3 linked regions of the Diceros bicornis minor genome follow. The protein of the gene in region 3 purifies or fractionates together with the protein of the main gene of each other region. This does not show direct contact. Links are inferred from orthologs where the notes say so. Each region holds a gene or a part of one and is shown on either strand. Other genes may lie near its edges.

Evidence for each region.
Region 1: the proteins of STIP1 (region 3) and HNRNPDL fractionate together in Homo sapiens (co-fractionation; 3 studies listed by BioGRID, with this or other methods). This does not show direct contact. The link is inferred for Diceros bicornis minor from reciprocal best matches to the Homo sapiens genes STIP1 and HNRNPDL.
Region 2: the proteins of STIP1 (region 3) and CCDC117 purify together in Homo sapiens (affinity purification with mass spectrometry; 5 studies listed by BioGRID and IntAct, counting the BioPlex papers as one, with this or other methods). This does not show direct contact. The link is inferred for Diceros bicornis minor from reciprocal best matches to the Homo sapiens genes STIP1 and CCDC117.

The regions. Positions count from the first base shown.
Region 1 is NC_080747.1:67,126,601-67,136,641, forward strand, and holds the start of HNRNPDL (heterogeneous nuclear ribonucleoprotein D-like), read right to left. Parts: upstream 3,684-10,041; 5' UTR 3,651-3,683; coding exon 3,208-3,650; intron 2,417-3,207; coding exon 2,248-2,416; intron 2,146-2,247; coding exon 1,984-2,145; intron 1,500-1,983; coding exon 1,368-1,499; intron 1,216-1,367; coding exon 1,101-1,215; intron 577-1,100; coding exon 406-576; intron 59-405; coding exon 1-58. Other genes in the region: ENOPH1 (enolase-phosphatase E1), read left to right, coding at 4,763-4,846. UniProt on the Homo sapiens protein: Acts as a transcriptional regulator. Promotes transcription repression. Promotes transcription activation in differentiated myotubes. Binds to double- and single-stranded DNA sequences. Binds to the transcription suppressor CATR sequence of the COX5B promoter.
Region 2 is NC_080774.1:22,547,437-22,556,937, reverse strand, and holds the start of CCDC117 (coiled-coil domain-containing protein 117), read right to left. Parts: upstream 3,684-9,501; 5' UTR 3,578-3,683; coding exon 3,396-3,577; intron 2,743-3,395; coding exon 2,689-2,742; intron 1-2,688. UniProt on the Homo sapiens protein: Facilitates DNA repair, cell cycle progression, and cell proliferation through its interaction with CIAO2B.
Region 3 is NC_080770.1:8,791,721-8,801,424, reverse strand, and holds the start of STIP1 (stress-induced-phosphoprotein 1), read left to right. Parts: upstream 1-5,103; 5' UTR 5,104-5,118; coding exon 5,119-5,136; intron 5,137-7,590; coding exon 7,591-7,800; intron 7,801-8,294; coding exon 8,295-8,436; intron 8,437-8,609; coding exon 8,610-8,751; intron 8,752-9,463; coding exon 9,464-9,632; intron 9,633-9,704. UniProt on the Homo sapiens protein: Acts as a co-chaperone for HSP90AA1. Mediates the association of the molecular chaperones HSPA8/HSC70 and HSP90.

The DNA of each region.
Region 1 (10,041 bases), on a different chromosome or scaffold from region 3:
TAATTGTTTTGGTGATTGCCACCCCCTCGAGACGCCTTGCCGTAAGTGCTCTGTTGGCCTATTTTGTAAAGACAAAAATTTATATTAAGATAGTGTCTATGAAATATTCATTATAAGTATATTTAAAAAGTATTAAATGTGTAAACACTGCATGCCAAATAAGTATTAAAATAATCAGATACTTTGACAGCCATTATAGTCATTTATCATATATTCTAGAACATATGTAACAAAGACTCTGTATTAATATAACCATCCTATGACCATCAGATGCCTCAAAAACGTAACTCCAAACACTTGAATAAATGGAAAACCCATACACACACACAATTTCAGAATGGGACTGTACTTTAACACTGAATTTTAATACCATTGGGTTTATGAAATTAAGTTAAATATTCTTACCACTGTAGTCTGCATATCCCTGTCCATATCCATAGTTCCCATAGTTATACCCAGTATAATCATAGCCGCCATAGCCACTATAGTTTTGATCACCACCATAGGCACTATTGTAATTTCCATATCCTTGATCATAATAGTTATTAAATCCTTGGTTCCAGTTTTGGCCCTGACCTGAAACAATGCACAATGATTGTTAGGAAACAACTTCTGACCCCCAATCCTAACATAAAACGATGCGTTCCTGTCCCTCACTCTGCAAATCTTAAAAGGCAGAATGGACTTCCATAATACTATCTGCTTGAGAAAAGATCTTTCCGGTTGTCATAAAATAGGGGGCAGAAAGTTCAACTGTGCCAGTATCAAGCTTCGTAAATTTAATGGAAAATCAGGACAAAGGTGAAAACAGACTGGCTTTAAAACAAGGACTCCTGCCGAAAAAAACCTATCATGCCATGGTGTATCATGTAGTTTAAACTACATTTAATGGTATTCTTTTCCCATCAGTGATGACACTGTCAGAGTGGCCATTCTTTGAAGAGGTGAAACCAGTAAACTCATTAAAAACAAAACCCCACCCACTAAGCTGAGCATTTTCCATGCTGGAAGTTTAAACTTGGATTTCCTTTCTTTGGGCTTATTCATATTTAGCAATTTATAAGTTAAACCACAGTCATTTCCCAAGAATTAAGTCTCACCTCGGCCACGACCCCTAGTACCACCTCGTCCACCAGCTGCAGCACCTCTTCCTCCTTTCTGTTGTTGCTGTTGCTGCCTATATACCTCTTTGGGTTGTGCAACTTTGATTTCACACTATGAACAAGTTTTAAAAAGCAAACAAATAGAATTGTTACTGAAATTCTATGTTAAGCCATTTTATTCTAATCAAGACAGACTAAGAATTTCTCACACGCACACACACAACTCCTTAAACTTTTCACTTAACATAATTAAAATGGCTTTACCTTCCCAGAACCAATTTGATGATATCTGCTTTCTAACAATTTCTTTACTGGCTCTTCGTCTGTATATGTGATAAAACAAAATCCTCTTCTTTCATTTGTTTTTGTATCCATGGGAAGTTCAATATTTTCAATCTGAAATCAAGATGCACACTCAAGATCATCCAGTAATGGTAAAAAGCTACCAAAAGATCTTGGAATGCCACAGGTCCTTTTCCAGCTTCAATATAACATGTTATTCTAATCAGATGACTCCTACAGAGAGACTACTGCCTTATTATCAATATCAAACTACAGTGATTTAACTGTGAAGCATTTACAGGGGAGAGCAAAACTTCCTTTACTTAGTATCATTCATACCCAACAGATGCCAACAGTTAATAAGTCCAAACACTGACCATACCAAAGCATCCATGTTTTGGCCAAAATAAATTAGATATTGGTTTCCATTATAGCACAGAAAACAGTGATTAAAATATGGTGACTGGAAGGGATCTGAGCTGTATTTTAATCCCATCCTCCTCTCACATGTGAATTTGTTCTGTAAGAAGAGGGCCAAGGATGAATATTATATAAACACACTAAATATAAAATACACGTAAACATAATCACAGCGCACCTCTCCAAAGGCTCCAAAATATTCTTTAATTTGTTCTTCTGAAGTATCTGGGCTCAATCCACCCACAAAAACCTTTTTGGGGGGTTCCTTCCCTTTTAAAGCTTTGGCCCTTTTGGGGTCTATCAATTTGCCATCCAGTTTGTGTTCTTTCAGTTCCAAAACCTAGAAGACAGATTTATTTAATCTGACAACAACGCACAACCAAGCCCCCGAACAACACGCAAAAGTCACACAAAAGCAGCACGACGTGAAACACATTCCTACCTTATCAACACTAGAGGCATCTTTGAAAAGCACAAATCCAAATCCTCTTGATCTTCCTGTCACTGGATCTGTTTTAATCGTGCAGTCTACAACTTCCCCAAATCGAGACAAATACTCTGTCAGATCTTTCTTGCTTGTATCCCAGCTCAAGCCTCCAATAAACATTTTACTAGAAATAAAAGTTTGGTTTTTTTTAAAAGGTTAGCAGTAGCTCCAACAATTACTTCAGTTCTGGGATTAATTACGTTTAACTACCAAGTAAGTACAGGGAAAGTTACCCCTATGTACAAATGATGTAATCCACGCTTACAGATACACACGAACAGACCACAAAAATCCCCAAATTCCATCAAGGTCACTTATTCAACACAGTGGACAGTTAGCTCTCCACACCGCATAATGCAAAGTTTAAACGAGGCCAACAAAATACGTTCAAGATAACTTTAGGTTAGAAAATCCAACTTCCTAACTGATCCCTCACAACTTAGTTCCACCCTCTTCCTCAGCTGTCAAGCCCAGGTTCCACCTAAAGAATTCATGAGAGGGCGTTCGGGGGATCTGGGAACCACTGGTCTACTGGTTCCCACGCCAAAACTTCTTCAAACGGTCCCCAGAAACACTGCGCAGAACCCCAACAGAGACACAATGAAGAGGCGGCGGCGGCGGCTGCAGCATGTGGCGCAGCGAGGGCGGCCCCTCCCCCTCGGGCCCCACGCGGCGCCTGCGCACTGGGGACACACACACCGCCGCCCTCCTCCTCCAACCCCTCCGCCCTTCCCCCACCTTCCGGGGCCTCCCCAGTCACCCCCTCCGTCTCCTACTCTCCTCTTCCCTCCAAGCCAGGGAAGCCCAGCGGGCACGCGGGGAATGGACCCGAGGCAAGAATGGGGGCAGCGCGCGGCTCCCCACGGACGAAACGCGCGTGCGGCGCGCTGGGGAAAAGGGAAAGGCGTGTGGTACCCGTCATCCTGCTGATTCTTGCTCGCGTTGATCTTGGATCCCTCTGCGAATTCCTCTATGTTGCTGTACTCGTTCATGTCCTCCATGGCGGCGGAGTTGTCGGTCGGGGGGTGCTGGCGCGCAGTCCGAATCGCGGCAGCAGCAGCGGCGGCGCGTTGTATGGAGCTGGATTTAAAATGGCGGCGGAAGAGATCCGGGCGCCGCCTGCGACCTCCCTTTATAGCCGCCCCGCCCGCCAATCGGGAGGGCTGCTGGGCGGTGACGTGGCGCTGGGCTCGGCGCGCCCCCTGCCGGGCGGAGCTGGGAGCGAGCGAAGGGAGGAGCGGGGCGAGCTGCCGCGGCGCCCGCGGCCGCCAATGGGAGAGGCTGCGGGAGGCTAAAGTAGCGGGAGCGGAGGGGAACAATGGCGGCGGCACATGGGAAAGCCGGGGCGGGACCTCCATCGCGGCCCTCCCGGTGAGGAGCGAGGTCGCGGGAGAGGGGACGCGGGCTTGGGATGAGAGAAGCGTCAGAAGAGAAAAACGAAGGGGCGAAAAGTCCTGGAGTCCAAAATCCCGAGCAGCGCCGTCACAGGGCCACAGTCCCTCTTGCCTTGAGAGCCTTTGTCTCTGCCGTCCGGTCCAGCCCACTCCTAGGAAAGAGCCGTCAACCCCGCCTTTTTCCGCCCTCGGTCCCCCAGTGCGGAGCTGCTGCGGCGGCAGCTGCTGGCGATTAGCACCGTGGCAGGGCTGCTCCGGAAAAAGGCGGACTGCGCCCGGCACCCGCCGCGCGCACGCGTGTTTTGTCTTCGAGCTGGCTGGAACCAGCCGAACAGGAAGCAGGAGCGCGGGGCCCCTCAGGGCAGCGGCGCGGCCCGAGTGCCTCTTCCGCTACGGCCACCGGCGCGCGGGCTGAGGGGGCGCGGCGGGCCTCCCTTGCCGATGAGCCGGAACCGGGAGCGGCGCGGCCTCTTTTGCTGGCAGAGGCCGGGAGGAGGGGCGCGGGCCCGGTCAGATTACTGTAAATATGCAAAAGCGGAGGCAGTGGGCGGGGAGGGGGCTAGGTGCCGTAGAGGGCAAGGGGCACTCACATCCCCGGCGCGCCACACGCGGGCCTCCCGTCTGCACGTGCCCCGGGCCTCTCCCGCTCGCTCAACCTGTCTGCGGAGAGCGCGCGCCCGCGCACCCGGCTCCCGCGTTCGCTTCTTTGTTCCCGCCCACGCGAGGCCCATTTTGACGGATCGGGTTCGAGGCCCTCTGGCGGCCAATCGGCGTCGGCGCCTCTGCCGTCCCGCACCCCCTCGGAACGCTGCGAGGCCCGCCCCCTTTCACTGCCCACGTGGTCTCGGCCTCCTGCCCTGGCAGCTCGCGAGTTCACGGCCTCCGTGCCGCCGCCCTCTGCATTTCTAGGGGCGCGGAGGTGGCCTCTACCCCTCGCGCTTCGGGTCGCGCGCGGTTTCCGGCTCCGAGATTGTTGCGGGCTGTCGGAGGCCCGGGCAGGTGCTGGGGCGCAGCCGGCGCCGCCCTCCGCCCTCCCTATCAGTAGGCCGATTCCAGTGGTAGCATCCGGTAGGGAAATGGTCGTGCTTTCGGTGCCTGCCGAAGTCACTGTGATCCTGTTAGATATCGAAGGTACCACAACCCCGATTGCTTTCGTGAAGGTGAGGGGCGGAAGGGAGCGGGGAACTTACCTGTGCTTAAAAATAATTAAAAATTTGTTCTTAAGTATTGCAGACCTTGCACTGGAGACACAAGGCGTTGGAGAGGCGGTGTGGCTTTGCACCCGCAGTGGGATGGGAGGAAGCCGAAGGGCTGCGGCGGGATGCAGGGACGCTTTTCTCACTGCACCAACTTTACACTGCCCTTGGTTAGATACAGATGGATGGGAAGGGATGGAGGTGGTGGCGAGAAAGGGCGGAGGACGGTGGCTCCGCCTGGGCGGGGTGACGCGACGTGGGCGCCCCCGCCGGCCAGGTGAGCGCCCGCTTTGTGCAGAGTGAGGCCTGGCGAGGCGGCGGCCGCGATTTCGTGGTCCTGGAGGCTCCAGTCCCACAAAAGGGAAAGACTGAAGTGTCAAAATGAGTTTTCTGGTAGCCCTGGTATCTTGGGCGATAATGGTTGCTCTTCGTCCCTTCCCACTCCTGCTGCTAGTGGCCGAACTGCACCCTGTTATGTTACTGGACTAGGTGGAACCCAGAGCTGATTTATTAAGCTGTAGAACAAACACGTTTAGATTTCGTTCATTTTCCTCAGAAAACCACGGAAGCTTGAAGGTCTTACTCAAAACCTTCCTCCTAGAGTGTCCCTGTTAACCAACATTTGTCTACACCTGATTCACAAGCTCACAACTTTGCGCTATATCAGGTTTCTTTTTTATACATATTCTATTCGTCTGTCAGAATACGTAAATATCAAATATTAGTATAATTTTTTAAAGAATTCTCTGGGCCTAGTCGTCTTTTTATTTAACTTCTAGAGGTTTAAGATGAAAGCGTTAACTAGAAAGGCTTACGTACAATAATAGTCGAGATATCATTTACAGAGTAGGAAAAACCCATCTTCCAACAAACTGGTAAGTTTTAAGTTATAAATTTTTTTTTTAATAATTTTATTTATTTATGTTTTCCCCAAAGCCCCAGTAGATAGTTGTATGTCATAGCTGCACATCCCTCTCCTTGCTGTATGTGGGACACGGCCTCAGCATGGCCAGAGAAGCTGTGTGTTGGTGCGCGTCTGAGATCTGAACCCGGCCCGCCAGCAGCTGAGCGCGTGCACTTAACCACTAAGCCACGGGGCCGGCGCATAAATTTTTTAAATTTAGTTTTATTTCAAAAAATTACCTGTGAAGAATGATTGTCTTGAAGTGGGTGATAATATAAAATCAGTGTACACTTTTAGGACTCCAATATATCGACCACTTGCAAAGTTTTTAGAAGAATCATAATACCTTGACATCTTAGCACAGATTCTTAAGAAATCTAGTTTGGCATTTTTTTCCAAGTTTTTAATCACACCGGATGCCTCTGCAGAAAAATTCAGGATCGCCCAAATGCTGGTAATTGAGTTGACGTTCTTTTTCTTGTTGATTGTGGCAGAATAACCGCTTTCTTGGAGTTTTCAGAGAAAAAAGGATTTCTCATCTTTGTGGTTTATAGTTTACAGCTCACTGTCTCTATTTTGGCTTTCTCTTACTTTCCGTTGTCATCAGGAGACCAGGGGTAATGACAGGAGAGAGAGTATTGTGGCATATGATATATACCATTCTTGGAAAGTTGATTTAGGGAATAAGATACCTCATGCAAATCAATTTTGTTAAAACATACAAGGTGCCTCTACCACCTTCCCCCCCCCACTGTGTCTTCTGCCAGATGAAAGTATGAGCCACTTCTTGGAATCTTTGTTTATGGCAGACTTATTCTGAGGTCTTTCTGAGGGTAAAAATGCCCTAATGGCCTAAATAGATTTTTTTGAGCTTGACACTAGTCTATAGGCAAATTAAAGGCAGACTGCAAAAAAATGATTTGGGGATCTTGTTTAAAGGATAGTTTCTTATGCCTTGTCCTATAATGTATTGTTATTTTATTAATATTAATTATTTATTAGAATACTCATTAATTTGTTACACATTAATATATCAAAAATGATGTTTGTAAAAGCGTATTCAGAAGAACATTAGATCTGTGTGGGTGTTTACAGTAATTTTGCAAAAAAGATTCCATTATTAAATGCACTTTTGGGAAATGTTAGGCTATACATGTTCAACTAGGTTTCTTTATTGCATGACTTTTCAGAGCCTTTATATCATACACACATATGCACACATATGTCTTGAAGAGAATGGCATTTCACAAATTTGCTTGAACAAAAAAACTTCAAGCAGAGTATTTCAAGGACTGACCTTTTGAACACCTTTTTTTTTTTTTTTTTGGTCTTTAAATTTTTTTTCCAGTTATTTTATTGAGGTCATATTGGTTTATAACATTGTGTAATTTCAGGTGTACATTATTATATATCAATTTTTGTATAGATTGAACACCTCTTAAAGAGATTGCATCCTTGAATCTCTGAGCATGGAGCTGGGAATTGTGAGATGTTTGTTCTACTTTGGGCTTTATTAGTCACATTAGGTGTTGGAACATGTAGCCCTAATTCTTGTGGAATGATGAAAGGAAACAAACATTGGGACTGTATGCATGCTACTTGTATACTTGACTCATTGTCAAAAACTCTGTGAGGTGTGTGCACTGTCTGCATTTTATTGATAGGAAACTAAGACTCTGGAAAATTGAACAATATGCCTGGGATTTGAACCCAAATTGTCTGACTCAAAAAACTCTTACTCTTTACGTTATTGCATTCGACCTCTGAAATGGGAACTACAGTGCTTGTTCGTCGTCTTTGCTTGGCTGCTGTGTGTGTTAAATGACACAGTTGATACGAGAGAACTTTAATCACTATGAAGTACCGTAAAAGTAGATGGTAACAAATTTCAGTTTACACTACCTCTTGATGATAGGTTTAGGAGTGAACCCTGGGAACCAGAATAACTTTAGTTGAGTCTTACTTTATTTGGGGATTTGTTTCTGCAGTCAGTATATACTGTGAAAATAGAGCATTGTCAAAAATTGCCCGTGAAATACCCTGAGGAAGTCAGTCCTCCTTGGAGACTAATTTCCATCTTTCAGTAAGTCATGTGCAGCCCTTTTTCCTTTAGGGTTGAAACGTATCCCTGCTGCTTCCCTTGAGCACCAGAGGAAGTAGTTGGTTTGAGATTAGGTGATGTAAATGAGAAATATGTGTGTCAGACGTTAGCCTCACACTGAGCCACTCACACTGTAAGAGACACTGGGGAACTGAGACTGTCCCAGGGAATAGAACACCCTCACTGAGTGGAATGGCAGACAGATGCCAGCGCTGGTTATGGTTATTTTTCCCCTTCCTCTTTTTTTTTACTGAGCACTTAAAGTTGTATGTGTGTATGATGCAGCCTTACTATGTAAGATACACTAATGGTCCGGGATATCTTATGGGATTCCATAGAATCTTCCTAGTCTGGGAAGTGGTGTTCTCTGGACAGCCTGTTGTTCTATCATGCCTCAGCCCTTAGGCTCCAGACAACAACAAACAATGGTTTTACTTACCAGCTATTATGTCTTATTTTCTCTGAGTCAGAGATTTGTCAGATTTCTAGAGCAGGAAGGGCTCCTAGCTAGGATCATCTAGTGAATGTTGTAGCCAGCTAATTAATTGCTCATATGAGTCAGTTGATGCCTGGAGGGATATCCTGTATGAGCATCATCACAGCTTGTTGGGGGCAGAGCAGCAGTAGAACCCAGCTTCCCTTAGATGTTCCCAGTCCCTCTGAGTGCTCAAAGCCACCAGCCCTGCCCCTCAGTGCAGGAAACGTGCCTCTGGAGTTTGTTTTCTTCTCAGGTACTGACTCTGATCCTCTACAGTGGTGATCTCCCAACATTTTTTGCTCATATACACCATCAGCAGAGTTGGAGCAGGCACTACCAATAAAATTTATAAATTGTGTACACGTATTATTGTACTATTATTGTTATAAATTGGAATTTAAAGATGAGATTAAAATAGTAAGTATAAATGAACGTTGTTATATTCTCTTCCCTTACCCTGTTGAATCTTGTGTGCCCCTGGGGTATATGCACCCATGGAGCCACCACTTGATCTTTGTCCGTGGTGATGTAATATTCATTTTCTGATTTGGTGCGTTGTACTCTTCTAATGTTTTTAGTCTGTAAGCTTATGAAATAACACCATCACCAGTCCCGGTGGTTATCCTGTCAGGAACCTTCAACTGTTGTTTCTGAGTTTGGGGAAAATGATCTCTTGTTCCTGAAAATGCTCTTTAATTTGGTGGCTTTCCTGTTGTTACATGTCAAATTTGTACATGTAACAACAGTTGCGGTAGTTATGTTTTATGAAGTCACTGAGAACACTGTATTAGCAAATACTGAATCATTGCCCCTAGAGAAAATACATGGTTAGGTTCCTGTGAGCCTCTGGTCACAACATTTTTGTGAACTGATCAACATATAACCTTGTTTTATGTGTCTTTCTCTTTACCTTTTTTAATATATATTGTTGAGTGGTTAACGTTGAACTCATGGTCAGTGGCACTGTAATTCACCCTGTAACAAAGCTTGTCTAACACGTATATTTTCTCCGTAAGGCACATCGTAGCTTTCTTGTGCTTAGTAACACCAGACAGCGCTTCAGCACTTTGCCTGGGGGCTGTTTTAAACTGCAAAATCACCAGTGAAAAGCACAGAATGCAAAAAATATGGCACTAAAAATAGACTCTGAAAAGAACATTTGTTTAAAATATGAGGTGAAATAAGAAGGAAAAGCGTCACCTTGTGCTGGGAATGTGTACATCTGGTGTTTCAAAATTTTTGCCACTCTACACATATACCTGTCCTTGAATGATCAGGGAAGTGCAGTGAGTGTTGATTTTGGGGTTACAAATAAATCTTAGTGAGTAGGAGAATTTGCAAATACAGAGTCTGCAAATATGAGGATTGACTGCATGGAGTAGTATTTAGAAGGATGGGTTTGGAGACTGTGCAGGTCTGGATTAGCATTCTGGCTCCTCCCTATATGGTTTATGGCAAGTTAGTTAATATCTCTGAGTCTAGGTACATATTTCCTCAGCTGTACTGTGGAGATATCGACTTCATAAGGCTACTGTGAACATTTAATGAATGTTTAGCCCTTGAAAGAACTTTATAAAATGAATGAGTATGCTTACATCAGTATTTCATCCACCATCCCATTAAATCTTGTCAAGGAGTAGTGGGTGGGGGGCATGTTTTTCATTTATGCCTTAGGA
Region 2 (9,501 bases), on a different chromosome or scaffold from region 3:
GATTAAGTCCCAAAGAAAATGTGATATAAAATACTTCAAAGTACTGATAAGAGCTATGGAAGTGGCAGCTGGGAAGCACACTTCTGGGCATCAGACATCCAAATGTCAAGTCCCTCATCCTCACAGAGCTTCAATCTCTCCATCTGTAAATTATAGGTGGTTAACTTTTTAAGCCAATAGTTTTTACACTTCAAATTTTTTATTTTTAACACTGGAACTCTTTATTCAATAACCTCTTAAAGAGAACCCCAAAAGATAATAGCAAAGAGGTCCCTGGGTATCCACAGCAACCCCAAGGCAATAAAGAACATATTGTCTGGTCCAGTGGTTTTTAAACTAAGGCAACTTTCAGAGCCAGCCCTGGTGGCCTAGTGGTTAGGTTTGGCACGCTTCACTTTGGCGGCCTGGGTTCAGTTCCTGGGCACGGACCTACACCACTGTCTGTCAGTGGCCATGCTGTGGCAGTGGCTCACATACAAAAAGAGGAAGATTGGCAACAGATGTTAGCTCAAGGCGAATCTTCCTCAGCAAAACACAACAAAACAAAACACAAAGGCACCTTTCAAATCTACTGTCTTATTAGTCTATGTATCAACAAGGTTAGAAAATCCAAAGTTTCTGCTGGCCAAAAAAAATCAAACACAAAGCTAAAACACAAATGACCAATTTTGGAAAGACACGTATAACACACATCATAAACTGATTTCTTTAATAAATATTTCTTACAGATTAACAAGACCAATAAGCCAATAAAAAACCTGCAGAAACATGAACAATTCACACAAAATTAAACACAAATGGCTTAAATCAAAAGATGTTCAACATCACCTGTAATTCACAAAACACAAATTAAAACACTGATCTAATTTCTTTCAAACTATAAACTCTTACGCTCATAGAAGTACAATGAATTATTCATTATTTAATGAATAATTACAAAACATCCATGAAAGTAATATTCAAAATACAGACTGCTGCCAGCATCCCCAAATGATACTCTATTCCCTCCTCCCTACACATAAACACTGTCTTTTATGGATATTAGTAAAAAAAAAAAAAAAAAAATTATCACACGTGCAGATATGCATCCCTAAACAATGTTTAGTTTTGCCTGGTTTTGAACCTTACATTTAGGGAATTATACTGCATACATTCTTGTGACGTTTCTTTTGCTCATATTATGCTTATAAGACACATCCATGTTGACAGGTGTAATTCATTTTTTTTTTTGCTGAACAGAACTCCATTGTATGAATCTATAATTTACTTTATCCCTTTTACCATTGAGGGACATCTGGGTTGTTTCCAGTTTTGAGCTATTACCAGCAAGGATGCTATGAACTTTCTTGTACGTGTCTCCCAATGTCTGTGTGTACATACTCAAGAGGGGAACTGGTGGGTAAAAGGGTATGTGTGCCTTCAAATTATTAGATAATGCCAAACTGTTTTCCAAGTGCTTGTACTAATTTACATCCTCAGCCATACTGTGTGCGAGTTCCTGGTGTTCCACGACCGCTCCAATATCTGGTAGTAGAGTAAGTAGCTCACTGTACCTTTAATATACATTTCCCTAAAGACTGATGAGATTGAACATCTTTTCATCTGGCTGGTCATTTGGAAATCATCTTCCGGGAATTCTTTTACTCATCTTTCTCACAGACTGTCTATGAGATGCAACTTTTTACCTATCAAATAAGTCAAAAAGTTTGAAAATACAGCTCCGGTAAGATGCAGAAAGAGAAATTCCCACTGTTAAAAGAAATAAAAATTGGCAAAACTCTTGTTCAAAACTTAAAACGCATACACTGTTTTTTCTGTGTGTGAGGAAGATTAGCCCTGAGCTAACATCCGTGCCCATCTTCCTCTATATTATATGGGACGCCGCCATATCATGGTCTGACAAGCGGTGCGCCAGTGCACGCCCGGGGTCCGGGCCTGCGAACCCCGGGCCGCCGAAGCGGAGCGCGCGCGCACTTAACAGCTGCGCCACCGGCCGGCCCCTGAAATGCATACACTTTTAAGACCCAGCAATTCCCCATCGAGGAATCCATTCACCTACTTGCATAACGGTCATGGTTAGTAATAGCAAAACATTAGCAATGACTTAGAAATCCATCAATAGAAGACTGGTTAATTATCTATGCCTAGCCTTACAACAATTCCATTCAACTATTGAAAAGGAAATCAGGTAGAACTCTATGTGCCCACATGCAACAAGCTACAGGAAGTAAAATGAAAAGACCAATGTGTTACAGTGTGAACAGTATCTTCCTACTAATGTAAAAAACCAGAAGTATATACAGTCATAACCTCGTAGGTTTTCTGGTTATCTTCCAAAGGGGAACGGGCAACAGGTAAGAGGCGTGAGCTCTGGGGAGGACTGTGAGCACCGAGTGTAAGACTTCTCAATGTGCATCCTTTCGCACATTTGGAATTTTTACTTTGTGCATGTAATAATACTCACACGGCTCAAAATTCAAACGTTCAGAATTGGTTCTAGAGTGGAAAGTCTCCCTCTGACCTGCCAGCCACCCAGTTACTTTCCCTAAAAGGTAACCGCGTTGTCAGTTCCTTGCGCCTCCTTTCAGGGACACCTGTTTCACCTTCCCACTTAAAATAAGTAGTTGAGAATACAAAATAGCTTAAATTAAGTGACCATAAAGTGAATAAATGGCACCTGAAACTTACTCATCCTCCTCCTCCTCCTCCCGCTTGTGTTTCTTTCTACCGCGACCTGAAACACTGTTGAAACAAACAAAAATCAGTCAACTGAGAAACGGCCTGGGCTTGCGCTCGCGGCATCCGCTCTTTCTTGCTCCAATAACCTTGCCCACCCCACACGGACTAGCTGTCCCCGTCCTCGCCGAGTGAGACGGATACACAAGTCACAATGTCAGTCAGGTAAACGCTGCTGCTCCTGACACAACTAGAGGCTGAATCTCAACCTCTCCTTTGGTCCAGGTGGAGGGAGCTAAGGGTGGGGGCGCCTACGGCGGGCGAGCGTCCTCGGGCAGGCACTGCGCTGAGCACTCGACTCCCGCGCTCCCACTAGGAGGACCCAGCGCTGTCCCACTCCGCCGATGAGGAAACTGAGCGTCCGAGCGGCGCTGGAAGTTGTCAGCATCAGCGGCCGCGCCGCGGGGACATCCAGGCTCCGGGCGGCCGGGCTCCGATCCCCGCACGAGCCGGCGCGCCTGGGCAAGTCTCCTCACTTCCCGGAGGCGCCGGCCGGCCCAGGTGCGAGCCCGACTCGGCGGCTGCGCGCCCTCCGCCGGCTTACAGTTAACGTCTCTGGGGATCAGTTTCCTTACCGGTACACCGGGGCTGAGAGGGTCGTGGGGAGAGAGGTTAACGAGCCCGCTCGCCCGCCGCCCCGCGCCCGCCGGGCTCCTCACCGTCCGCGCGCCGCGCTCCCGCCGGCGCTGCTCGGGGCGGCGCGGGGTCCCGGCCGCGGGACAGGCTCGGCGCCGTCCGCCCCCGGCGGGAAGGCCCGGCCGGAGAAAGCCGGTGGCGGCTGCAGGAAGTCCGAGCTGCCGCTCAGGGGGAGGCCGCTGAAGGGCCGGCCAAGCGCGGCCATGGCCGGGGAGACGAGGAGGCTGCGCCCGCGTCCCCGGCCACCCGCGTCCCCAGACCCAGCAGCTGCGGCCACAGCGACTGCCAAGAGGCGCCCGCCTCCGAGCCCGCTCTCGACCCCACGTCACGCCTTCTAGAACCCTCCACCCCGGGCCGCCCAGGGGCACGCCGGGATTTGTTGTGTGTGGAGAGCTGCTGCCGCGAGGGATGCCGGGAGTTGCAGTCTTTGCAGACTACAAACAAGATGGCTGCCTCGGCCTAGCCGCGGGGCTTGAGGACGGCTCTGGTGGGCCTAGAACGTGACCAGGTTCGAATACTCACTCCGCAAGTTATGTAAACCTCCTTACCTCACTTTTCTCAGTAGTAAAACCCGATAATAACAGTACCTACTTCATAGAGTTGATGGGAGAAGTAAATGAATTAAATCATCTAGAGCCTTTAGAACACTGCTTGGCACATAGTACACACTCATTAAAGATCAGCTATTAATTCCTTCTATGTTTTAATATAAGTTGGTGATACCTTAGAGGGAACAGCGTGGAGGATCAGTGAAAACCTCAGAGCGCTTCTGAGAGGTACTGGTAAGCCTTCCAGCCTCTACCTGGGGCATCCAGCGATATAGGCTTGTCAGAAAGGCTAGCAAAGATGGTCGACTCCATTTTTCCCTTCTCAGGGTATACCCTCATTCAGTTTGAGTTGTTTATGCCAACATCAATGCCCTTCAGCCAAAAACCACCAAGAGCACACCTATAATTGAACAAAGATGGATTTACTGACTCTTTGCAGTGAGGGAGTATCTCAGTAAGAGGGTGTTAGAAAAGGCTTCTTATAGGATTTGGGAGTGTCTTAGGTGATTTGGGGGAAGGTTGAAGGAAGCAGGACTTTGCTCTGGAATTAATACTGTCAGGAAGCAGGGATAATTCTATGATTATTTTAGTCCATCTTTTCGAGAAGGTGGGAGGAATGAAGGGAGGCTAAACCTATAATTGGTAGGGAAGCAATAGTCCTTCCTACTAGCCAGGATAGGGGAATGTTTGGTCATTTTTGTGGTTTGGACAATGCTCACATTTTTGTCTTGTCTTCAGACATGAATATGAAGTGGTTTTTTTGTGTGTGTGTGTGTGTGAGAAAGATTAGCCCTGAGCTAATATCCATGCTAATCCACCTCTTTTTTTTTTTTTTTTTTGCTGAGGAAGACTGGCTCTGAGCTAACATCTATTGCCAATCCTCCTCCTCTGTTTTTCCCTATAGCCCCAGTAGATAGTTGTGTGTCATAGTTGCACATCCTTCTAGTTGCTGTATGTGGGACGCCACCTCAGCATGACCGGAGAAGCGGTGCGTCGGTGCGCGCCTGGGATCCGAACCCAGGCTGCCAGTAGCGGAGCACACGCACTTAACTGCTAAGCCACGGGGCCGGCCCAGAAGTGGTTTTGTTTTTATCTTGATCCATCGAAGTCACATCTTAGTCCCTGTTCGATACTGACATTCTGTGAAATTGTTTAATAGGAGGACACCAAGTGTTACCTGACAGTATAAGGCCAGTTTTAGCTGTCAGAAGATGCCTTTCTCTTTCTAACCAAAAACCTAAGCATCATCATTGATGTCTCTTTTTTGTTCAGCCCTGTATTTAATCAGTTAGCAAGTCCAATGGGCTTTACTTGTGACACGCTTCCAGATTCTCTTCATTTTTCTCCATCTCCGTTGCCCTCATTATGGTCTAAGAAAAAATGAATGAACCCCTTTTGCCTAATGTAATATAATAGATTAGGTTTAAGTTTTCTTTGTGGCATTTACAATCCATTTTTGCCTAAGTTAACGTCCCTTACTTACCTCAACTGGATATAAAAGATAGTCTCCTAGGTCATTTCAATCCAGAGTTGATGCTAATGAATGAGATGACTCCAGATGGGGGCTGGTCACGAGAAAGACTAACTATGTGATTAAAAGATTAGCGCTTTGAGCTAGCCCAGCCTCTAGGGAAGGGAGGGAGGCTGAAGCTTGAATTCAACTACTTGGCCAAACATTTCAGTTAATAATATTTACATAATAAAACCCCAGTAAAAACTCTGGACACCAAAACTCGGTGGCTTCCAAATTGGTGAACACATCAATGTGCTGGGAGGGTAATGTGCCCTGATTCCATGGGGAGAGGGCATGGAAGGTCTGCGTTCAGGACCCTCCCAGGTCTTGCACTATGTGTCTCTTCATTTGTATCCTTTAGCATACAATTGTAATCATAAATATAACTTTTTCTTGAATTCTGTGAATCATTCTATTGAATTGTTGAACGTAAGAGGGGTCATGGGAACCTCTTGGATTTATAGCCAGTCTAAGTATGGATGACCTGGGGACCCCATTTGAGGTTAGCATCTGAAATAAGGGCAATCTTTTTGTGTGTGTGAGGAAGATCAGCCCTGAGCTAACATCCATGCCAATCCTCCTCTTTTTGCTGAGGAAGACCGGCCCTGAGCTAACATCTATTGCCAATCCTCCTTTTTTTTTTCCCCTTCTTCTCCCCAAAGCCCCAGTAGATAGTTGTATGTCATAGCTGGCACATCCTTCTAGTTGCTTTAATGTGGATCTCCGCCTCAGCATGGCCGGACAAGCAGTGTGTCAGTGTGCGCCTGGGATCTGAACCTGGGCCGCCAACAGTGGAGCGCACGCACTTAACCGCTAAGCCACGGGCCGGCCCCTGAAATAAGGGCAATCTTGATGGACTTAAACCTGTGCCCTCAAACCTGTGGAGTCTGACGCTAACTGCAGGTGGTTAGCATCAGAATTACACTGCAGTATTGCACTGGTGTCAGAATAGCCAGGGACCCAGAATTAGCCAAACAATCTTTAAAAAGAAGAATGAAGTGGACTCAAACTTTCTGTGATGAGAAAAACAACTTTTGTTTTTCTGAGTTGCTGCCTAGGCATTCTACAGTATGATAACTCTGCTCACACCCCGAATCTGGACATTTAGGTAAGGACCTGAACTTAAGATTCCCGCCATAAGTTCCCACTTTGCTTTTCCTGGGGCACATTTTTAAATAACCACTTGGAGTTAAGCCCGAGAAAAGTTGGCGACCTCTGCCCCAACACCCTTATAAATAATAGGTGGTTGCTATGTGGCTCTCTATCTCCTGCTTGCTAGTGACCTGGGAAGGAGGACTGCCGTTATCCTGGCTCATTGTGCCAAGCAGTTCCCCCCTGCAACCCCCGGCCCGACTTCTGCGATTTGTGAGCAATAAATCTTTTGACTTTACTTCCTTTGTGTGGGCGTATTGAAACTGTGCCTTCAATCAAAATGACCCCATAAGTTTCACTTCTCCAAAGTGGGAGCTCAGATACTGAGGGAGCTACCTGCCGACCCAATGTGGGTGGCTTGTGCCTCCTCATTCAGCAGGTCATAATCTGCATATTCTGAATTCAGTACACTTGCTCCGGCTTCTCAACACACTTTCCAACTTCAAAACAGTGCAGTATTGGCATAAGGATAGACATATAGATCAATGGAATTGAATTACGCATTCCAAATATACCCTCACACTCATAATCAATTGATTTTTAACAAGGGTGCCAAGACGATTCATCGAAGGAAAGGAATAGACTTCAACAAATGATGTTGGACAATTGGATAGCCACATGCAAAAGAATGAGGTTGGACCCCTGTCTCACACCATATACAAAATTTAACTCAAAATGGATTATTGACCTAAAAATATAAAACTCTTAGAAGAAAATACAGGGGTAAATATTTGTGGCCTTGGGTTAGGTAATGGTTTCTTAGATATGACACCAAAAGCATATAAGAATAAAAGACAAGATTGATAAGTTGGGATTCATCAAAATTAAAAACTTTTGTGGTTCAAAGGATATCATCAAGAAAGCAAAAAGGGCCGGCCTCGTGGCTTAGCGCTTAAGTGTGCGCACTCTGCTGCTGGCGGCCTGGGTTCGGATCCCCGGTGCGCACCGAGGAACCGCTTCTCTGGCCATGCTGATGCCGTGTCCCACATACAGCAACTAGAAGGATGTGCAACCATGACATACAACTATCTACTGGGGCTTTGGGGGAAAAATAAATAAATTAAAAAAAAAAAAAAAAAGAAAGCAAAAAGATAACTCAAAAAATGGAAGAAAATATTTGCAAATCATATATCCAATACAGGACTTTTATCTAGAATATATTAAAAAAACTCTTACAACTCAATAATAAAAAGACAACTTACTTTTAAAAGGGGCAAAGGATGTGACTAGACATTTCTTCAAAAAAGATTGACAAATGGCTAGTAAATAACATGAAAATATGCTCAACATCATTAGTCAGAAATGCAAATCAAAACTACAATGAGATACTACCTTAACCGACTAGGATGGCTAAAATTAAAGACAGACAATAACAAGTGTTGACATGATGTGGAGAAATTGGAACATTCATACACTGCTAGTGAGATTGTAAATGGTACAACCACTTTGGAAAACAGTTTGGCAGTTCTCCACAGATTAAATGTAGAGGTACCATATGACCCAGCAATTCTACTCCTAGGCATACACCCAGGAAAAATGAAAATATATGTCCACACAAAAATGTGTACATTTATGCTAAGTGAAAGAAGCCAGTCACAAAAGACCATTTATTATATAGTTTCATTTATATGAAATGTCCAGACTAGACAAATCTACAGATTAGCATCTGCCTAGGGTAGGAAGTGGGGAGGGGACAGGGAGGATGGAGAGTGATTTCTAATGGGTACAAGATTTCTTTTTGAGGTGACAAAAGTATTCTAAAATTAGATCTTGGTGATGGTTGCAGAGCTCTGTAAATAGGCTTCAAACCACTGAATTGTACACTTTAGATGAGTGAACTTTAATGGTATATAAATTATATCTCAGTGCAACTTTGAAAAAACAAACCTGGTAGGAAGGTTGTGGGAGAGTCACTAACTCTCGCTCACCTCACACTCTCTCGGTGGTTTCTGACACCTACCAAAAGGAAGCGATAGCTATGCATGCATGACCAAGCTGGCTTAGGTCAGTTTGCAAGACAAACCACCTTGCCTGCTTCTGGTGTGTGCCATTTTTTTTTCTAACATATGCTGTGGGGGTTTGGTAACTATTGTGGGTAGCAGATATATAGGGGTTATAGTGAGGTTTCCTCTACTTCTCTGAGAATTTGAAGCTAAAGAGGCCAGACAAAATATAAAATATTACCATAATGAGGAAAGCAAACATATGCAAAAACAGCATGGAGAGTAATGAAGGCTCCTCAGCCAATACTGGCAGTATAATCGGTGGTTAGGACCACATTTTCCTTCTCTCTTTTTTTTATTGTGGTAAAATATACATAACATAAAATTTACCTTTTTAACCATTTTTAAGTGTGATTTTAAGTGTACAGTTCAGTGTCATAAAGCACATTCACATTGTTGTGCAACCATCACCGCCATCCACCTGCAGAACTTTTTCATCTTCCCAAACTGACACTCTGTACCAGGAGCACATTTTCTGAAATTAGGGACCTGAGTTTGATTTTTCCTCCAAACTATTATTACGTGAGCTTGGAAGAGCTACTTTGCCACTCAAAGCCTTCTCCATCTGTGAAATGGGGATGACAGTTCCTGCCTGAAAGGGCCAATTCGAGGGTTCAGTGGGAAGGGGAACGAGAAGTGCTTATAAAATGACTAATCACCAGGGGCGAGCCCGGTGGCGCAAGCGGTTAAGTGTGCGCTTTCCACTGAGGCGGCCCGGGGTTCGCTGGTTTGGATCCCAGGCGTGCACAGATGCACCGCTCGTCTAAGCCATGCTATGGCGGCGTCCTATATAAAGTGGAGGGAGATGGGCACGGATGTTAGCCCAGGGCTAGTCTTCCTCAGCAAAAAGAGGAGGATTGGCAGATGTTAGCTCAGGGCTGATCTTCCTCACAAAAAAAAAAAAGACTAACCA
Region 3 (9,704 bases):
ATCTAGGCTCTCACTTAGAGAAGGAAACTCAGGTTGCGTGAATTCCCACTCCGATAGTGACAGTTCTTCTAAAAACAAATTCCATGTTCTACACACCCCAGAATTCCGAGCTGCAACCTTCCATCATGCCCACCCCTCACCCCCAGGCTAAGCTTCCTGAGTTCCAGCTGTTTTATTTTTTCTGATTGTGGGAGAACTTTAAAATTGGGGGTTTGCTCTGCTGAGAATCTGGTCACGCACGTTGAGCCCTTCAGCCTCTCATTCGCTGCAGGATCTACGGCCTCAGAGTTGATGCCAAATCCAGCCGTTCTGCTCCCCACCCTGAGAGCTTGGCACGGAAATAGCAGCATGAATCACTCTGGAACTGTGGTGCAGTGCATGGGCCAGGACGCCTTCTGTGGCGGAGCTTCTGCTTGTGTTCCAGGGATCTGGGGAAGGGGACACTGGCCAGGCCGCATTGCCGCCTCCCTGCCCCCTCAGGAGGGCTCCGAGTTCACCGAGAAACCTGGAGAAGCCCAAGTGGGTGGAAATCATAAGAGCTAACATTTCTGAATGTTCAGAAGCGGCTTCACTGTGACACCCAATAAGCCTAAGCTTCAGGGTCCCCCATTTCCACCCTTTCTAGAGCTCCATACTTCATTTTTTACTTTGTATTTTTCTTTTCTCAAAGAAGGCTCTCAAATTTTTATAGGTTTATGAGTATGGGTTATTTTGTTTAATCCTCATAGTAACCTTGGGAAATCATCGGCCCTTCATCATCTCCATCTACAGACAAGGACGCTAGAGCACAGAAAAGCCTTCCTTGGATTCCTTGGAAATTCCAAGCTTATTTCAGCCTCAGGGCCTTTGCACCTTCTGTTGCCTGGTCTGGAAGCCCGTCCCTGGCTGGCTTCTCATCACTCCAGGTCTAAGGGGCCTTCACTAACCACCCACCCGTAGGCGCTCCTTCCTTCCCTGCCTCCCTGGTTACCCTCATCCCTTACCTTTTGCTTCCTTCATAATGCTCACCACTCTTTAGAGTTCTCTTCATTTGTGCATCGATGTCTACTTAAATGCATATAGTGCTTGCTCTGTGGTCAGGCACTGTTCTCTGCGCCTCACAAATATCAAATAATTTCATCCTCACAACTAGTCTGACATTGAGACTTTTTCATCCACGCCTTGAAATGGAAGCAACTGAAGCACAGAGAGGTGAAACAGGCGGCCTGAAGTCACACAGCTGAGGAGGTGAAGTCTCATCTGTCTCTCTCACTAGAAGAGATCCACGCAAGCAGAAGCGGCATCTGTGGGCTGCCTTGTCCACTGCTGAGCCCCGGCACCCAGAGCAGCGTGCCACACACAGCAGGACTAGAAAAAAGGTGTGTGGGAGACGATGAGACCACTTCACTCAGAGTGAGGAGTGGGAAGGAAGCCGGGAGAGATGCTGTGGGGAAGGTGATGGAGGCAGAGCTGGTCTGGGGGGCAGCAGAGGGACTGGCAAGTGTGTGGTCTGGAGACGGTGCCAGGAAGACATGAAGGTCTTCTGGGCAGATTTAACTCAGCAAATAAGAGAGAAGGCCACCAGCCTCAGTGTCACCTCCTTCCTCCATGCTCTGCATCCAGGGCATCGATCCATCCTGTTGGCTCTTCCAAAGTGCATCCGGGACCCAACGTTTCTCTCCCCTCCTCTGCTCCCACCCTGGCCCAGGCCACCATCACAGCTCCCCTGGATTATTACAACGGCCTCCTAAGAGGTCTCTCGGCTTTTACCCTGGCCCTCTTCATCTTCACAGCAGCAAGAGGGATCCTGATAAGACTAAGTCGGATCATGTCAGTCTTCTGCTCAAACCCTCCGGGCACGTTCCAGAGTGAACACAGTGGCCTCCCACCCTGCAGGACCTGGCCCCTGCTTTGTCTCCGCCTGGCTCTCCCACTCCCCACTCCCCGTGCTCCTGCCATTCTGGCCACCCCAGGGCCTTTGCACTGGCTGTTCCCTCTGCATGGTACTTCTTCAGAGTTTAGAAAATCTCACTCCCTCACTTCCTCAGGACTTTTCTCAAATATTAACTTCTTACTGAGGTCTGCCCCGGCCCCCCTCACCCAATGCTCCTTTAACCTGGTCCCTGCTTATTTTTCTCCACTGCACTTAAGCATATATACTATATCAACTTTTTTTTAGTTTGTCTCTCTCACTAGAATGAGGTCCACGGGAACAGGGATTTTGTCCGTTTGCCCCACTGCATTGGGCCCACAATCAGCCCTGACACATACCAGGGCGATCAGTAATATTTGCCGGATTAGCGGACGCCTGCTCTGAGCCAGACACTGCGCCATGCACCTGGAACACAAGGCTCAAGACACAGGGCCCTCGCAGACCTCACAAAATGTGGCCCTGATACCAGAGCTGCTGGTTTAGCTTGTGAGGGGACATACGTGTAACCCACTGTGATGCAAAAGCAAATAACAAGCGGACAGAAATGAGTAAGCTTGTTAGGGGCAGGTGGCCAAGGAACCCTGAAGCTCATCTCAGCCTGGAAGACAGGGTGCTAACCTGGCACAGCTGGTGGAAGGGGATCCCAGTGGAGGCCACAGCATACAGAGAGGCCCAGGGTGAAGGAGCCTGCTGAGTTCAAGGAGCAGAGGAGGGCCGGCCCAGCGGCTTAGCGGTGAAGTGCGCGCACTCTGCTGCTGGCGGCCTTGGGTTCGGACCCCGGGCGCTTGCACACCCTGCTTCTCCGGCCATACTGAGGCCACGTCCCACATACAGCAACTAGAAGGATGTACAACTATGACATACAACTATCTACTGGGGCTTTGGGGGAAAAATAAAGAAATAAAATTATCAAAGAAAAAAAAAAAGGAGCAGAGGACACGTAGGGCTGGAGTTTGGTGCTGACGGGGGGGGGGGGGGGGGGGGGGGGGGGGGGGGGGGGGGGGGACGACACGACGGGGACGGGACGGGACGGGACACAGGGAAGGTAGAGGCAGAAGGGCTGGCCTGCCAGATTAGACAGGCCCTGAGTCCCACACAGCCTCCAGGTTTTAAGCGAGGGCTGGGGTGACTTTGGTGTAGTGTTGAGTGGGTCAGAGGCAGCTGGGGTGGAAGAGGAGGCTGTGGAGGCAAGTTATTCGAAGCGAGATGGCCCTTAACCTCCTAGAAGGGATGCCATTGCCCAGAGAGGGGTGAGAATTGGGCACAGCAGGGCCCAAGACTCGCACCCAAGTCATGCGGCTCCTCTGTTCCATGAACCACACACTGATCCAGGGAGAAAAAAACAGCATCTTAATCCCGAGGGCCGTCTCGCCCACGCGCTAAGCCGTTTCCCCTCCCTTGGGTGCCTGCTCTGCCCCTCGCACATGGGCTGCGATTTAGGGCCCTCCGCCCACCAGGTGGCCAAACCCCTCACTGAGGTCTTTGTTTCCTTCACCAATTTGCATCCCAATAATGGAGGCGGCTCCCTTTCATTAAGTGCTAAAAACTCGACTGCATGACTAGGAACCCTCCCGCGGCCCTAGATCATCAAGCCCTACTCGAGAGGATCAGAGAGGGTGTGCGTCTGCACTAAGGGGACCAGCGGAGGCGCCCCGCCGGGGGAGAGCCGGGTCTGTAATGCCCGACCCCAGCGCCCTCCCCGCCACGCGGTATCTGAACCTTTGGAACCTAACAGCGGGGTCCGGGACGGGCCAGAGAGCTCGCCCCAGACCGACCCGAACCGGCTGGGAACCCCGAGCCCGACGCACGGGCGCAGGACCGGGGCTCTCGGCCGGCCTCGCGAGAACCACGCGGGACGCGACCCCAGCCAGCCGCCCCGCAGCCCCCGGAGCCCCCGCGGCAGACGGTGCTGGGGCCTGGGACGCCCATCAACCACCTCAGCGGCGAACCCCACGCGCCCTTTAATGGACAGCCATTTAGACCTATCAGCGCAAAGTGTCGGCAACTGTCCGCCCAATAGAATTTTTTTTCATCTGAAGGAGGTTCGTTCATGGAGACCGTCAGCCCAATGGGAGAGGTGGAAATTTCCAGAAAGAACAGGACCAATGGGTGCGGCCAGCGCTGCTACGATTGGCGGACCAAGCGACCAATCCCTGTCGCAGAAGACCGCCCCCCCTCCAATCGTGGGGTGGGCGGGGCTTGTCGGGGAGCGACCAATCCCGAGGGGCGGGGGAGGCAGGACAGAGGGGATTACTCCCCGCTGTCCAATGAGAGAGAAGCGAAGATGATGGGCTGGAGTTCAGGCCAATAGTAGAGAAGCAGGGAAAGCCCTCTAGAGGAGCGCGACCAGTGAGCAGGCAAGGCAGGGGCGGGATCCGGGGGTCCCGGCAGCTTCTAGTAGGTTCCAGAAGGCGGCGCGTGCGGTTGGGAACGCGGAGCGGACGGAGTCGATTCAACGGGGTTCCGTGCCGGGCTATGGAGCAGGTGAAGGGGGAGGGGCGGGCCCAGGCCCGGGGCCGCGGCGGGACCGGCGGAGGCCAGGCCGCGGCGGAGGGGCGGGGCGGCGCCGGGCCGGCGAGCGGCGGGGCGGCGCGGGCGTGAGGGCCGAGGCGGCGAGGCCGGGCCGCGGGAGCGCCCATCGCTTGCAGGCCCGGCGAGGAGGGCCGGGGAGGCAGCAGCTCGGCCCGCGGCCGGGCCCGGAGGCCTCCAGGGAGGTGGCTGCGGGCTGAGCGGGGCATGGCGCCGGAGGGATGGAGGGGCCCCGAGAGAGGCGGGAGGGATCGGTCCACACCAGGGACCTCGCCGCTGGGAGATCGGAAGTCGCCGACGAGGAGGGCACCTCGGGCTGGGCCACGGTTGACTGGGGGGAATGCGGAGACGCTCTGGAAGGAGCCGGGAGATTTGGTAGGCAGTTGGGGGACGCTGCTGTCCTGCATCGGGAAGGGCCGCGATGGAAGGGCGAGGGGCTGAGGAGCCGCGGGCCAACTTCTGATGCAGGAGGGAGGTTGCTGCACAAGTCCTTGGAACGAATTCCCTCCCTGCCAGCGTTTCGCAAATAGATGGGCGGCCTCTCCTCTTCCTCCTCCTCTTTTTTCTTTTTGTTTATTTGTGTGTGATTCAGGAGTAACAAGACTAACGTTTCTGAAAAGTCGGTTTCTAGTTAATTACACAAGGAGGGATCGGTCGCCGTAGGAAATTTAGGCAGTATGGATCAGCAGCAAGAAGTAAGTTGTTTGCCTCCGCTCAGCATCTTTGGGAGACCGAGTTTGAAGCTGCTGCTGGTTACTTGCAGTGGCTTAATTATATCCTGAGTGGCCTGAAGGTTGTGAAAGCCTGGAGAGATTTTATTCGGTTGGAAGCTGTCATTGAGCTGTAATGAATGATCGAACTGGGGGGAACGAAGAGAAGAGGGTTCGTTTTTTGTGGCAGGATCTATAAAACAGAACATTCTGCTGTAGTATAGCCATTGCTCCTTGAGCGACATCTGGAACTTCTTTGAGGAGTTAAAAGACAAAAATTAATAAATTTTTGCACTCTTGTGATAATTAAATTGTATCTGGGATTAAATAGGCTGTAGTATAAGCAAAAAGATTTCCAGGTTGAGAAACATATTATTCTGTTAAATTTAAGAAAGGAGCTTGTCCCGCAGTTATTAAAATAGAAAAAATATTTAAAAAAAAATCATGCTGCCCATTATAGGAGTGTATGCACAGGTAGACTGTAAATGAATGTTTCACTAAACTCAGAACTGCCAGTTTACTGTGACAGTGGTACAAACGGCCTGGCATTTTCGCTCCAGGTGTGTTAGAACCTACCTTTCCGCTTGTGACTTCTCTACCTATTTGCATTTTCGACTCCCAGATCCATATTTCAGTTTTAGGAGATATTGAAGTTGGACAGATTTAAGTGTCCAAAGTTGTCTTTTTTTTTTTTTTTTAAGTATCTTTCAAATAAATACATCCCACAGTGATACACTTTTCACACTTGACCCAGTAAGGGCATACAACTGGATAACGCGTTTCACAAAACGATACTTACTGTTATGTGCACTGCATGCTGGTATTTTTTCTCCCAGTTGATGTTTTAAAGCACTGGTCGTGACCTACAGACTTGATTTCCTGACCCACTGCAGGCGGTAGTCAGTTTGGAAAAGGATGTTCCGTAGGATAGACGGGAACTTTCTTGAGCTGTTCCCAGCTGCCTCTTGATACTAGCGGAGTTTTTAAAGTTTGTTCCTTTTGGTCTCCATCCTAGGCCCAAAGGTTTTTGTCCCTGCTTGGCAAGTTTGGCAGTCTCCTTTTGCTTTTTCCGTCTTTGAGGTTGTTTTCTAAGATCTCTCTGGTTCATGGAGGGAGGTTCCCAATTGGTGTGCTTCAGGGTTCCAAAATCATCTCTCTTAACAGAGTATTTTTTTGTATCAGTATACTGGGTCGTGGGTAGATGATAGAAAGAAAGAACGGTTTGGTAACTTGAAGGGTATGGCTCCATATCAAGAAATGTGTTTGCGGGCGGGCCCCGTGGCTTAGCGGTTAAGTGTGCGCGCTCCGCTGCTGGCGGCCCGGGTTTGGATCCCAGGCGCGCACCGACGCACTGCTTCTCCGGCCTCATGGCCGCGTCACACATACAGCAACTAGAAGGATGTGCAACTATGACATACAACTATCTACTGGGGCTTTGGGGGGAAAAAAAGGAGGAGGATTGGCAATAAATGTTAGCTCAGAGCCGGTCTTCCTCGGCAAAAAGAGGAGGATTTGCATGGATGTTATCTCAGGGCTGATCTTTCTCACAAAAAAAAAAAAAGAAAAGAAAAGAAATGTGTTTGTGTTGGAAGTTGGCCCTCCCTCTCTTGTAGGACATCCCTGGTTAGGAGAAACCCCTTTAATTAGGACCCTGTTCTGACATGGCTGGGGCCTCCTTCACTTTTTTAAACCTTCCCTTTGGTGTGTTCCTGCTTCTTTCATGCTGAATGTTTGAGAGGATAGGGGGTTAAACCACAAACAGTGTTTTTTTATCCTCTTCCATCCCCCTTGTAATATGTTAATGTTTAAGCATGCCAGAAACTGACTTCGGGGGGCTAGCTTTCATTTACCTTTTAAGGAACGGAGCAGTAATGTACTGTGTTGTGACATATCACCACACCTCTAGATGGAAGTAGATTCTCCTCTGACTGTGGGTGGGCATTCTGATGCTCCTGGAGACGCCGTCCCAAAGCCTTTTTGGGGCTGGAGCGTGTATCAGTGTATCTGTGCGCACTTGGCCCACGCCCGTCCTGCTCGCCTCCTCCCGTGAGCAGGAACTAGGCCTGTGTGCAGTTTACCGTTTGGACTCTTTGGAAATATATGGCAAATGAGTTTATTTCCATGGAAGGAGCTCACGAGTATGTCCTAGAGTGGCCTCGTCAGCTCGAAGTAGAGACTTGTGGAAGAGTGGCTGGAGTTCTTGCTGATCCGCGCGGGAGCCGGTGCAGAGCAAAGTGTCAGGCTTCTAGTTCCTGGTTATTTTCTTTTTTCCTTGCCTGTTCCCAAAGATGTGGAAAATATAAACGAATTAGCTTATGATTTTTTTCTTCTGATCTATAAAGTAACCTATTTATTGATAGCTGCAGAAAAGAATGTTACCTAAAAACTTGAGACTAAAGAAGCATGTTAAGGGAACTACATCAGTCCTTTTCTCTGTAGGTGAACGAGCTGAAAGAGAAGGGCAACAAGGCCCTGAGTGCCGGCAACATCGACGATGCGCTGCAGTGCTACTCCGAGGCCATCAAGTTAGATCCCCAGAACCACGTACTCTACAGCAACCGCTCGGCAGCCTACGCCAAGAAGGGGGACTACCCAAAGGCTTATGAGGATGGTTGTAAAACCGTGGACTTAAAGCCTGACTGGGGCAAGGTAAGCGGTGGGTGAGTTGGGGCTCTTCAGACTTCCAGAAATGCCGTTTGGTATACAGTTCTTAAATATAGGGACCCCCCTGACCGGCCAGTGGCCTCTGCCAATAAACTAATAGTTTATTACCCACCATCTTCCCTACTGTTTGAGTATGTTCCTTCGAGTAATGGCAGATTTCATCAAATCGGAGATACCATCATATATTAAGACATGTCTTACTCTTTGTACTACTAAGAAAGAAAATGCTGCCAAAGAAAGGGAGAGTTCTTGATCATAGATGGGTTGGCGGGGGAGGGGCGCATCTTTGGTATTTGGCTGGAGTCTTACAGTATCAGTCTTGGCCTTGTGTCCTGCTCCTCTCCCTGTCTGTTCTTGGGCCTTCACGTGAATACCCATTTTGTTCCATGAAATGTAAGATATGTTCTTTTGAGTTGGTCTTCTGGCTTTACCTGCGGGTGTCCTTTATTTTGTTTTGTGTCTGTCTTTGCTGGTTTAAGGGCTATTCTCGAAAAGCAGCAGCTCTGGAATTCTTAAACCGATTTGAAGAAGCCAAGCGAACCTATGAGGAGGGTTTAAAACATGAGCCAAATAATCCTCAGCTCAAAGAGGGGTTACAGAATATGGAGGCCCGGTTGGCAGGTAGGCACCATGTATACTGTCTTTTTCTTTTTTTTTTAATTGCTATTTTTTAAATGGGATTGAGTTTGAGGCTTTTTGTCCTCCCGTGTGTCAGTCTGGTTGGTAGACTACGGGGGCATAGTAACTCACATGAACTGACTTCCTAGTGAGGCACTTTTCTTTCTTGGGAACAGAGAGGAAGTTCCTGAACCCTTTCAACATGCCCAATCTGTACCAGAAGTTGGAGAGTGATCCCAGGACACGGTCGCTGCTTGCCGATCCCTCCTACCGGGAACTGATCGAGCAGTTACGAAATAAGCCGTCCGACCTGGGCACGTAAGTCGAGGTGGCACGGGTTGTCTCTGGAAATGGCCGGGAACACTGCTTCTTCCTGGGAGCCTCTGGCAGGAGGTGCCCTTGTTACGGACTGCAGGCTTTCTGCCTTTGCTTTTTCTCCAAAGAGCAGTAGGAGTTTGTTGGTTTGCTTGCTGTTTATTTGTATTTCTAGAATGGGTCACGGGAGGCATATGTCAGTAATCTGGAACGTTCATTCTAACCCTCACGTGCCTTTTCATTGCTCTCCTACAATTCTGATCTAGCGCCAGCCCTGTCCTTGCCATACCCTAGGCCCCACTGTCTCTGTGGGTATATTGGAGTGGAAACGCAAGGTTGAGAAGGTCAGGTGTAAAGCTGGGTCTCTAAACCTTGTCCTGGTGTCTGTGACCGTCTGAAGTCAGATGATGAAGCATACCTATAACTCTCTCTCAAGTTTTCTGTGCTTCCTCTCTTCTGATCTATAAAGTAACCTATTGTCTATTGGCTTCAAGAAATAAATCTGACCTGTGTTACCTCATTCTAGATGGACTTTTGAAGGGTTGAGTATTCCCCACTTGTACCTCATAGATAGTGTAGAGTCAAGCAGTCTTGTGTTGGAGAGAAGCTTTGATATGCAGTATTCTGTATATGTGCTGAGCTTCAGCAGTAAAGGGGGTTTAAGATCAGTTACGGGGAAGAAGAATTGCTGGTTTTCTTTTTTTACCAATGCTAGGAAATTGCAAGATCCGCGGATCATGGCTACTCTCAGTGTCCTCCTCGGGGTCGATCTGGGCAGCATGGACGAGGAGGAGGAAGTTGCGACCCCTCCACCACCGCCGCCTCCCAAAAAGGAGACCAAGCCAGAGCCCATGGAAGAAGATCTTCCAGAGAATAAGAAGCAGGTCTCGTTTTTGTTCTCTCCTCACTGCCATGCATTTATAAACAGCCTGGTCGATTTCTCTATGTTGGGTGGG